3 linked regions of the Macaca mulatta genome follow. The protein of the gene in region 2 purifies or fractionates together with the protein of the main gene of each other region. This does not show direct contact. Links are inferred from orthologs where the notes say so. Each region holds a gene or a part of one and is shown on either strand. Other genes may lie near its edges.

Region 1 (3,752 bases), on a different chromosome or scaffold from region 2:
ACTGCAACCTCCACCTCCCAGGTTCAAGCAGTTCTCCTGCCTCAGCCTCCTGAGTAGCTGGGATTGCAGGCATGCACCACCACAGCTGGCTAATTTTTGTGTTTTAGTAGAGATGGGGTTTCACCACGTTGGCCAGGCTGGTCTCGAACTCCTTACCTCGTAATCCGCCTGCCTTGGCCTCCCAAAGTGCTGAGATTACAGGAGTGAGCCACTGTGCCCGACCCTAATTTTTTTTGAGACAGGGTCTCTATTGCTTGAGTGCAGTGGCACAGTCAGCTCACTGCAGCCTCAAACTCCTGGGTTCAAGCAATTCTGCCTCAGCCCCCCAAGTAGCTGGGACTACAGGCGCACGCCACTATACCAGGCTAATTTTCGTATTTTTGTAGAGGCAAGGTATCACCATGTTGGCCAGGCTGGTCTCAAACTCCTGAGCTCAAGCGATCTGCCTGCCTAGGCTTCCGAAGTGCTGGAATTACAGGTGTGACCCACTGCACCTGGCCCTGGCTAATATTTTTTATTTTTGTAGAGATGGGGTCTCATTATGTTGCCCAGGCTGGTCTCGAACTTCTGAGCTCAAGTGATCCTCCAGCCCCGGCCTCCCAAAGTGCTGGGATTACCGGCCTGAGTCCTTGCGCCCAGCTCTTTGTTTTCAACTACCTAGTTCCTACTGTAGGACCTTCACTTAGCTTCAACCATCTTGTGCTTTTCCTTTTTCCTCTCTCCTCTCCTTGAGTCTAAGAAGCCCCCAAGGGTTTTGCTGTCAACACTGTCAAGCGCTTTCCCCCACATTGTATAGAATCTCCATCTGTTTTCTCTGTCAGGTGCTGGAAACGTGCATAGCAACAGTAGGCCGAGTATCCAACGTTGATCATAACAAACGGGTCATTGGCAAGGCAGGTCGCAACCGCTGGCTGGGCAAGAGGCCTAACAGTGGGCGATGGCACCGCAAGGGAGGCTGGGCTGGCCGAAAGATTCGGCCACTACCCCCTATGAAGAGTTACGTGAAGCTGCCTTCTGCTGCTGCCCAAAGCTGATATCCCTGTACTCTAATAAAATGCCTCCCCCTCCTGTAATCTGTTACTGGTTTTTTGCGGGAGGGGATGGTACAGACTGAACGTGGGGAAAAGAAGTAAAAAGTGTGGGAGGAAAAGAAAGTACAGGACACTGGGTCTGTCCCCACCCCAATTCCCTTACAGGTAATGGAGCCGGGGGTGGAAATAAATGACGTCCAAGGCCTTTTCCAGTTGTGACTGGGAAACAGGGTGGGCACTTCCGCAGGAGGGAGGACAAAAGGAAGAGGAAAGGGCGGCGCAGAGGAGGAGGTGCTGCGTCGCCAAGGTGGCATCCGCGGCTCCTCCCCGGCCCTTTCCCAGGGCCCCTAGCCTTCCGCTGGGTCCGGCGGAAATGAGCCGTGGCTTTTGGCTGGCGGAGACGCTGGCAGGGACCAGGCTCCACCCTGCCCCAGTGGCTGCCGACCCAGGCGGCTACCGCTCTGTTCCGCAGAGGCACGCCCCTTCCTGTCTCTCCGTCTCGACCCCCTCGCGGGGCCCAGGTGGGGCCCGAGTCGCCGCCAGCATCTGTGCCGCGTCCCTTGCTCTGTGAAGGACAGGCCTCGCGCCAGGACCCCGGTGGACTTCTGAGGTGGCCAGAGCCCCGCCGCGGCCCCTTGCTCCTCTCCTGCCCACTTGCCCATCGAGCCTTGCGCTCACCCAACCTCGGTTCCCCATCCTACTGGGCCTCGGGGTTCTAGTTTATGGGGCCTAATCCCCCCTCCCCCACTTTACCGCGCGCCCCTGGCTTCTCGGGTCTCCAACCTCGGTCCCCCAAGCCTCGCGCCCCTCACCTACCTTGTCTGTGCACCCTGCCCTGGGTCTCGCGGCGCCCCCACCAGCCCTTTTGTTCCAGTTGCTCCAGTCGCTCCAGTCAGAGGCGCCTCCAACCCACCAGTGCCTCCTCCCAGTCCATCGCGCCTTGCCCTCCCACTCCACCACCAGTTCTCAGGTCTCTTAACTCTGCGATCTCGGGACTCTTAACTTGGGTCTCACACTCCCATGCTCCAATCCTTAGAGACAGCACCCCTTTCCACACACACTCAGGATCTCCCTCCCAAACATACCCCTCTGGGCTTCACATATCCCCAGGGTAGCTGCCTGTTTCAAGGCCTTGGGATTCACTTGTAACTCCAAGGCTGCCCTGCCTGCCCCCACTAGTCTGCCCACTGTTCCAAACCAACCCACTCCAGGCCTCAGGGTCTTGGGGACCTTCCTTTTAGCCCCCAAATTTTGTGTTATTTCACAACAAAACACCCCAGTGTTCTCTGCTTAGGCCTGCCCCGACTCAGCATGCAGCATGCAACTCCTGGGCCTGGCTTTACCCCACCCCGCCTGACAGCTGTTGCCATTTGCTTCCCCACCTCCTGGATGTCTTTGATTTTCTGACCTCTCCTTACTCTAGCTTGTCTGTTCTCTTTTCCTTGTGTGCTCCAGGTGCCAGGATGGTGGGGGAACTCCGCTACAGGGAATTCAGGGTGCCCCTGGGGCCTGGCTTACATGCCTATCCTGATGAGCTGATCCGCCAGCGAGTGGGCCATGATGGGCATCCTGAGTACCAGATCCGTTGGCTCATCCTGCGGCGTGGCGATGAGGGTGACGGGGGCTCTGGCCAAGTGGACTGCAAGGCTGAGCACATCCTGCTGTGGATGTCCAAGGATGAGATCTATGCCAACTGCCACAAGATGCTGGGCGAGGATGGCCAGGTCATCGGGCCCTCCCAGGAGTCTTCAGGGGAGGTTGGGGCCCTGGACAAATCTGTGCTGGAGGAGATGGAAACCGATGTGAAGTCCCTCATTCAGAGAGCCCTTCGGCAGCTGGAGGAGTGTGTGGGCACCATCCCTCCTGCTCCTCTACTTCACACTGTCCACGTGCTCAGCGCCTATGCCAGCATCGAGCCCCTCACTGGGGTATTCAAGGACCCAAGAGTCCTGGACTTGCTCATGCACATGTTGAGTAGTCCCGATTATCAGATTCGCTGGAGCGCAGGCCGGATGATACAAGCCCTGTCCTCCCATGATGCTGGTGAGGGGCAGTGTGGGGAGGAAGGGAAAGCAGAAGGGCTGGGTCGGCTCAGGGACTCACAGGACACTGTGGCAGGAGCCTCTGATCTCATCAGTACGTAAATGATTCTGTTGCCCTTCTCTTAGAGTTGGAAGAAAAGGAGGTGGGAATGGGAGTGAGGGTGGGGGTTATCTGCCAAAAGAGGAAAGACTATCTTCAATAACCTCATATTAATTAGTTGCTTTTTATGCAAAGGAAGAATTTACAGTTTAGACTATTGTAGATGGTGTTTATGTGCGTGTGTGTATGTATATAAGTTGTCAAATTTTAGCTTTTGAAGCAAATCAGTTCTTTCCCATTGTGTGATGGCAAAAGGATTGGATTGAAAGAATAGAGGGTCTAAGATTTCTAGGAAGGGTGAGATTAGGGAGAAGTTACTAATTGGGATATGGGTTACAGGGACCCGGACTCAAATCCTTCTGTCACTGAGCCAACAAGAAGCCATTGAGAAACACCTGGATTTTGACAGCCGCTGTGCTCTGCTAGCACTGTTTGCACAGGCCACGCTCTCTGAACATCCCATGTCTTTCGAGGGCATTCAGCTACCACAGGTAACCTTTGGGGGTATAAGGTAGGGGGAGCTTGTGAACAAGATCTAGGGACCAGGCCTTTGCACCTATCTACAGAGGATGGTATGGA
Region 2 (3,652 bases):
TCTTGAACTCCTGGCCTCAAGTGATCCTCCTGCCTCAGCCTCCAAGTAGCCAAAATTTAAAAATTACTGGTCCATGTAATTAAATAATCTAGTCTATCACTGTCCAATAGAAATATAACATAGCCCTACATTTAAGATCTTTTAGTAGACATATGAAAAAAGTAGTAAGAATGGGAGAGATGATTTTAATAATTTATCTTAACCCAATATATCTGAAATATTGTCATTTCAACATGTTATCAATATAAAAATTATTGAGGTATTTTACTGTTTTTTTTTTGTTTTTTTTTTTTTTTTAATAACAAGTCTTCAAAATCCAGGGAATATTTTATACTTAAAGTACATCTGAATTTTGACCAGCCATATGTCACATGCTACAGCCATATTGAACAGTACATGTTTAGTCTATAGCACCCATGGAGGGAATGCTGTTGGGTGGATACTCTACTACTATTTTTGTAGTCAAGTTGGATGTTCTGTCTGGTGGTCCTTCTGCTGCTTTCTTTGAAAGAGTAAAACACAATTTCTCCACAGAGCTACATATATCTATTTCCCATACTCACCCTGAGCTACATGTATCTATTTCCCCCACTTTCATTATTCACTTACTATGATGAATAAAGGCAATACAAAGAAGAATATAAAGTAAATGAATGGATTTTGGTTTTATAATTATTTTATTAATTAGTTTTTTAAAGACAGGGTCTTGCTCTGTTGCCCAGGCTGGAGTACAGTGGCCGATCATCATTCACTGTAGCCTCACACTCCTGGATTCAACCCATCCTCTAGCCTTAGCCTCCCAAGTAGTAGCACTAAGGTATATGCCACTATATCCAGCTAATTTTTAAATTTTTTTTTGTAGAGATGGGGGTCTCGCTATGTTGCCAAGGCTGGTCTCAAACTCCTGGCCCCAAACAATCCTCTCATGTCAGTCTCCCAAAGTGATGGGATTACATGTGTGAGCCACTACACCCGGCCTATAATTTTTTTAAATATAAATGTCTCAAGTCCCCATGCTGTATGAGTTGAACCCTACATTCTTCTGAAATTCAAAACGTGAAACTAGATTTCTATTTACATGTCAAACAAGGTGAAGAAACATAAAATAACTGAACTATCAATTACTTAAGTCCATTGTGAGATGTTCTTAAAATTATACTTACAATTTCAGTAATTCATCCTTTAACTTTTCATTTTCCAGTGAGTTTTCTTTGTTATCAATGACTTCTTCCACAAAAGGCTTAGTGAACTCTATTAAGGCCTTGCAACACTGACAAAGGCCATAGTCATCCATTTGTATTTGTTCTTTTGAGTATGGAACAGGAAGAAGAGATAGCTGATTCCAAAGGGTAGACAATGCTAATCCAATTGAATATGCCTTGTTATGAAGTTTCTGAATCACTAGAACAAAGATCAAGTTGTCGCTCATCAAGTATGCTAAACATGGGACAAGAAATTCGGCAAATGTGGAATTACAAGATACCTCCTCCTTCCATATTTTAACAGCTCTTGAAATCAAGATGACACATCACAGTCTAACTGGCAGTGTTTTTTTCTTCTTAGTTGTGCATAAAATAACACAGCATCTTGCCATGAAATGCTGTTTAGGTTATGTTTATAACCAACTATGTGTAACAGGCTATGTACTTAAGACAAACATGTTCTTTCCATGTTTTTTGTGTTATAAGCACAAAATATGAGAGTGTATTGTAAACTGCAAAGCACTATACAAATAGGAGGTGGTATTATTAGATTTTTTTCCCCTAGAAGACAGAATATTATAGGTGGTATGAAGCTGGTAGGCATTCATATTTAAAACAAATATAATTTCTGATTCCAGGTCCCTCTATCAGACTGTGAGATAAATGAATTTCCTAAAATGAAAAATAACCTCTTCCCATGGATACTGTCTGCCTCGGTTGCCAAGACCCATTACCTACCAATATTGTTACTGCACTCAGCCATGGAGCCTTATCATGCCATATCTCCTCGTTTCATTCTTCAGTAGTACCTTTGCTATGCCCAATCCACCTCCCAAAGCAGAGGCTGAGCAACGCCCTGCCTGATACTCTTCTGGACTACTATAATGCTATCAGATTTAGTACTGCAGACACCACAGAGGTAATCCTTGAAATATGTTTCGGGAGAAAATTCTAGATTTAAGCAGCAGATAGGAAGGTTAGGCAAAAAGGTATAGGTTTCAATACAGCACATGAAAAATAGTATGACATTCAACAGAATATTTACTGGGTACCCACTCTGGCCAGATACTATAATCTTTCCATGAGCAGCAGAATTCACATTGGCATTGCTATTATTCGTTTAAGCAGAGTACTCACTAATTAGCTGTAAACTTTGGTGTAGTATTGACATTTTGGGGTAACCATCAAGGCACTTAAAGATACAAGAAGTACTCTGATATCAAAATTCTCATTACCTGTTTGTAATGGCTGAAGCAAAAGAAGAATACTTTGGGATATCTGTTTTCCAGAGGGCTCTTCAATCAGTTCAAGCAAACCCAACAATAATTCCTTTGGATTGCATAACTATAAAAATATTCACAATTGAACCTGTTTAATACAAGTTGTATTTAAAGCCACATTATTACTATTTTTAAGAAGACATATATTGACAAAAAATATTATACAATTATGTTTTTGCTTAACATTAAAATTATTTATACAATTGTTAAAAAAATATGCACTAGCAAAACACAGAATCTGTGATGGTCAAGTAACTATAAAACTAAAAAGCAGCAAGAAGTCAATGGATCTTTAAGCTCAGGTTTCCTTTGTGCTTCACCTGTCTACTCTGAAATTGCCTTAATAAATTCCCAGGGGCTCCAGCAGGTGGGACCTTTCAATCCCACGCTGCAAGCCTATTTAGGCTAGTCCGGAATCGCTTCTGTATTTTTTAAACAGGTGAAACTTTGCATTGCTTTCTGACTGGCAATATTTTATCATCTCACTTGACTGTTTTTTTTTTAAAAGCTCCCAGCTCCCTTAGTCAATAACTCATACAGACGGAGCTCTCCTTCCAAATATATATTTGGGTATATTTACACTGATCACTAAGCAGTTTCTTATAACATCCTTCTTCTCAGAATTTTTCTTTCTTAGCCATCAAATATTGCCTTTAAACTCTACTAGCCTTTTACCAATGGTCTCTTTCTAAGGTTGTTAGTCACAACTGATCTGTGTTCTACCCCATTCCTACTTTCATTTTAATCACTTGTATTGTAGGCTTTCGATTCTCTTTTAAGGAACGTACCACAAAGAAAGAGGACTGAGATTTTAATTCTAGTTCTAATGTTGCCAAAAGATAAATGTGACCTTGAACTACCTCTCTAAACCTTGTATTCCACATCTATACAAAAAGTTACTTGTTAAAATATAGCTTCCTAGGTCTCCCCCTGGAGATGCTGAATCAATGGGTCTGATATGAAGTTAATGAGGTTAGAAAATTCTTTTATCCAGAGAATTTGGGAAATCCTGAAATGGAACTGCCTATCCAATCAATAAGACTGGGTCTTTTCTCCAACAAGTTCCTTTCTGCATGTACTTTCATGAACTGAAAGCTTTCTTACCAAACAATAAACATTAAAGGGAATTATAAAATACTGCTGTGTATTATGACAAAGAGAACCTTGTTA
Region 3 (3,652 bases), on a different chromosome or scaffold from region 2:
AACATGGTAGGTTTCTCATTCTTTCTGTTCCTTTTCTTTGATTTCTGAAGGAGAATGTTAGCTTCTTACCCTTTCAATCGATTTCCTCTTTTGTCAGTCGTGTCTATGTATATATGATGAAAACATAAATTGAGCAAGCTCCTGAGGTTTCCAACTTATTGTACATATATCCAGAGCTGTTGTGTTTTTTAAGATAAAGCATTGTTCTTGGTTTTATTATTTGTATAAAAGTTTCCCATTTATTTTATACCTAAATAGTAGATAAGGTTACTACAGGATTAAAGAGTTTGACTCTGAATTAATGGGGCATACACTTTGGGGTAAGGATTTCTTTTTATTCTTATGAAAGTTACAGATCATACTAAAGTAAGTTTTGTATTTCGTGTTTCCCACTTTTAAACCTCTTTTGTTTTTACCACTTTAAAATATTATACATGTACAAACATCTTTAATAGAATGCGGAGCTGCTTTCACCAGCAAACTTGAAGGAATGTTTAAAGACATGGAACTTTCTAAAGACATCATGATTCAGTTCAAACAGGTAAAAGTGAGTTAAACTCTTACTTAATTCCTCGAACTTAGTTATATTTAGTTATCCGCTTGCTGTGATTTGTACTGAAGAGGATAAATAGAAACGTGTTTGTTGTAATTACTTCATGGCAACTGAGGTGATATTCACAGTAGAAAAAAAACCATTGGTGAAATATAAGTATATTTGACCTACTTTAGGATTTATTTTTAACAAACACCCAGAGTAACACAAAAATAAAAATAAAATGTATTGAACTGAAGTCAGTACAAGAAGAGCTATAGTGGGAACAGGGCTTTCCCCAGCGTCTTATCATTTGGTGATTTGCATGTTCAGAGCTTGCAGTGGGGAGAGAGGAGAAGTGATAATGTAGCTGTATAAAGCCTTTGGGGACACTGGGGATAGAAAGCTAGATCCACAGTTTTGAAGATGTAGGTAGAAAGTAGTTTTGAAATGTTTAAGAACATAGGTGATAGTGATGGCAAGTTAGATTTTCCTCTTTTGGGGTTTTAGTAGTGACTTCTTTACCCCACAATGTTGCTAAGGTGGGAAGTGGAAGTGAAAGAATTAAGAAAAAATCAGGGTCAGTAAGATTATGAATTCTATAGTAGCTACCGAATGGGGCTTATCTGCTTTGCCCTTTTCCCCTCTTTTTCCTTCCCTACTCCAGGCCACTCCCTGCAGACAGGCAGTGGAGCAAGCGAAAAACTGGAGACTTGGGCTGGCTGGTGGGGTGAGGAATGGGGATTGCTGCAAGATGTTTAAGCCATGTAGGGGTATTCAAAGGTGGGGACTGCAGGTGGTATTGGGGAAAAGAGTGGAGGAGAGATCCTATAACAGCCCAGCTGTATGTGAGAAATTATTTAAGTTGATAATGCCTGTAATGAGGTCATGTGATCCTTGTATGCCTTTGTATCAAAATGTTAACCTCTGTACTTGCCTAATGCATTTTGTGTAGGCTTCATTTAAAGTCCTCTTAATAATTGCCTTTTATTTTAAGGATGGTCAGTGTTTGCATATAATTTCATAACGGGGAACTTCTTAAATAGGTTATTATGATACGAAATGTATGCAGTTTTAAGATCTCAGTGTGTGTTTTGATCTTACAGTATATGCAGAATCAGAATGTTCCGGGAAATATTGAATTAACTGTGAATATCCTGACAATGGGCTATTGGCCAACATATGTGCCTATGGAAGTTCATTTACCACCAGAGGTAAGAGTTACTGTTTAGAACCTGAGTTATAGGCATAGAAATCATAACATTTCCATTTTGCTTGTCATTTAAAAATAGATACTTAGAAAAAAATAGAGACCCAGGGCCTCGCTGTATTGCTCAGGCTGGTCTTGAACTCTTGGGCTCAAGTGATCCCCCCTGCCTCAACCTTCCAAAGTGCTGGGATTACAGGTGTGAGTCACCAGGCCTGGCATAGATACTTTTAAAAGTGAATGTCAGTAAACACACCAACACCAAATACCAACTGCTTTAATATTTTACTTTTGTACTTCTAAGTCCAGTTAAGAGCCTAGCTAATAATGCCAAAGTTCTGGGTTCAGGATCAATTTCCCTGGCTCTTCTTCCATCTTCACAGATTATACCCCTCATTCTACCTAGTTATTAAGAATTCTTGCACATATTTCATCCATAGGTGGGATTGCTAAATGATGGGTGCTTGATTAAATCTATCCTGACTCCTGGGAAACTGTCTAGCCCAGGACTGAAGTCCATAAAAGGGATTAAGGCTAGACAGCTAGATATTGAGAATCCTCCATGGAGATGGTTATGAAGGCCCAGGGAGTAGATCTGTCTCAAAGAGGAAGAAAAAACAGCAGAGGCAGAACTTTAGAAAAGGCTCACATTTGGCAGATGGTAGAAAGAGGAACCTGTGAAGGAAACCAGTGCAGAAGCAACAGTGAGATAAAGGAACCAGCATAGTATAGAGGCACAAAAGCTGCTGCAGGTCAATGTTTCAAAAGAGTGGATGATTAAATGGTTCAGATAGAGCAAAGGGTATAAATCCTAATAAATCCCATTTGATTTGGTGGTTGGGAGATCATTATTTTTCATCAAAGTGATTGGTGGACCTACTGGATATAGTCTTAAAATTTTCCAGAAATTATATCACATGAGGTAAGTATAAAAAGTGGTAAATGTGGTATTGGGTATAGAGCTTAAATAAAGCCTTATTTTATTTACTTTAGATGGTAAAACTTCAGGAGATTTTCAAGACATTTTACCTAGGCAAACATAGTGGCAGGAAACTTCAGTGGCAGTCAACCCTAGGACACTGTGTGCTTAAAGCAGAATTTAAAGAGGTAAGTGGATGTTCCCAAAACTTTTAGTTTTCATCTTTGTCTTTAATATTTAGGTCATCTTTCTTAACTAAAAGGTTAGGCTATTGTTTTGTGTTTTTTTTTTTTCAGACAGAGTCTCACTCTGTCTCAGGGTGGAGTGCAGTGGCGCTATCTTGGCTCACCGCAACCTCCGCCTCCCAGGTTCAAGTGATTCTCCTGCCTCAGCCTCCCGAGTGGCTGGGACTACAGGCGTGCGCCACCATGCCCAGCTAATTTTTTTATATTTTTAGTAGAGACGGGGTTTCACCATGTTGGCCAGGATGGTCTCTATCTCTTGACCTTGTGATCCACCTGCCTCAGCCTCCCAAAGTGCTGGGATTATAGGCATGAGCCACCGCGTTTGGCCAGTTTAAGCTATTGTTTTATAATTGTATCCTAGATATCCGCATGACGACAGTGAGAGCTTGTCATAGCTTTATGTATTTTTAAGTAATTTTAGCTGTGTGGTCTTTCCACAATTGATTTGGCCCTTTTGCAAAACGAAAAGCAATGAACTTTTCCCCTACTCTTTCCTCACCTGTAGATGAAAACTTTACACTGCCACTTCCTATTTTTATTTATTTATTTACTTTTAGAGACAGGGTCCCACTCTTGTCACCCAGGCAGGAGTACAGTGGCACAATCACAGTTCACTGTAACCTCAAACTTATGGGCTCAAGCTATCTTCCTGCCTCCGCTTCCTAAAGTGCTGGGATTACAGGCATGAGCAACTACACCCAGCCTAACACTGCCACTTCTTGACAGAAATTTTGTTGCTGGGAGCTACG

What was found.
Region 1: the proteins of GLMN (region 2) and CUL7 purify together in Homo sapiens (affinity purification with mass spectrometry; 4 studies listed by BioGRID and IntAct, counting the BioPlex papers as one, with this or other methods). This does not show direct contact. The link is inferred for Macaca mulatta from reciprocal best matches to the Homo sapiens genes GLMN and CUL7.
Region 3: the proteins of GLMN (region 2) and CUL4B purify together in Homo sapiens (affinity purification with mass spectrometry; 3 studies listed by BioGRID and IntAct, counting the BioPlex papers as one, with this or other methods). This does not show direct contact. The link is inferred for Macaca mulatta from reciprocal best matches to the Homo sapiens genes GLMN and CUL4B.

Annotation. Positions count from the first base shown.
Region 1 is NC_133409.1:139,074,435-139,078,186, forward strand, and holds the start of CUL7 (cullin-7), read left to right. Parts: upstream 1-1,253; 5' UTR 1,254-1,404; coding exon 1,405-1,552; exon of another isoform or gene 1,553-1,641; intron 1,642-1,905; exon of another isoform or gene 1,906-2,001; intron 2,002-2,486; coding exon 2,487-3,167; intron 3,168-3,512; coding exon 3,513-3,664; intron 3,665-3,752. Other genes in the region: MRPL2 (large ribosomal subunit protein uL2m), read left to right, coding at 822-1,034. UniProt on the Homo sapiens protein: Core component of the 3M and Cul7-RING(FBXW8) complexes, which mediate the ubiquitination and subsequent proteasomal degradation of target proteins. Core component of the 3M complex, a complex required to regulate microtubule dynamics and genome integrity.
Region 2 is NC_133406.1:148,035,486-148,039,137, reverse strand, and holds part of GLMN (glomulin), read right to left. Parts: intron 2,547-3,652; coding exon 2,438-2,546; intron 1,402-2,437; coding exon 1,164-1,401; intron 1-1,163.
Region 3 is NC_133426.1:126,934,829-126,938,480, reverse strand, and holds part of CUL4B (cullin-4B), read left to right. Parts: coding exon 1-6; intron 7-455; coding exon 456-547; intron 548-1,638; coding exon 1,639-1,746; intron 1,747-2,732; coding exon 2,733-2,846; intron 2,847-3,652.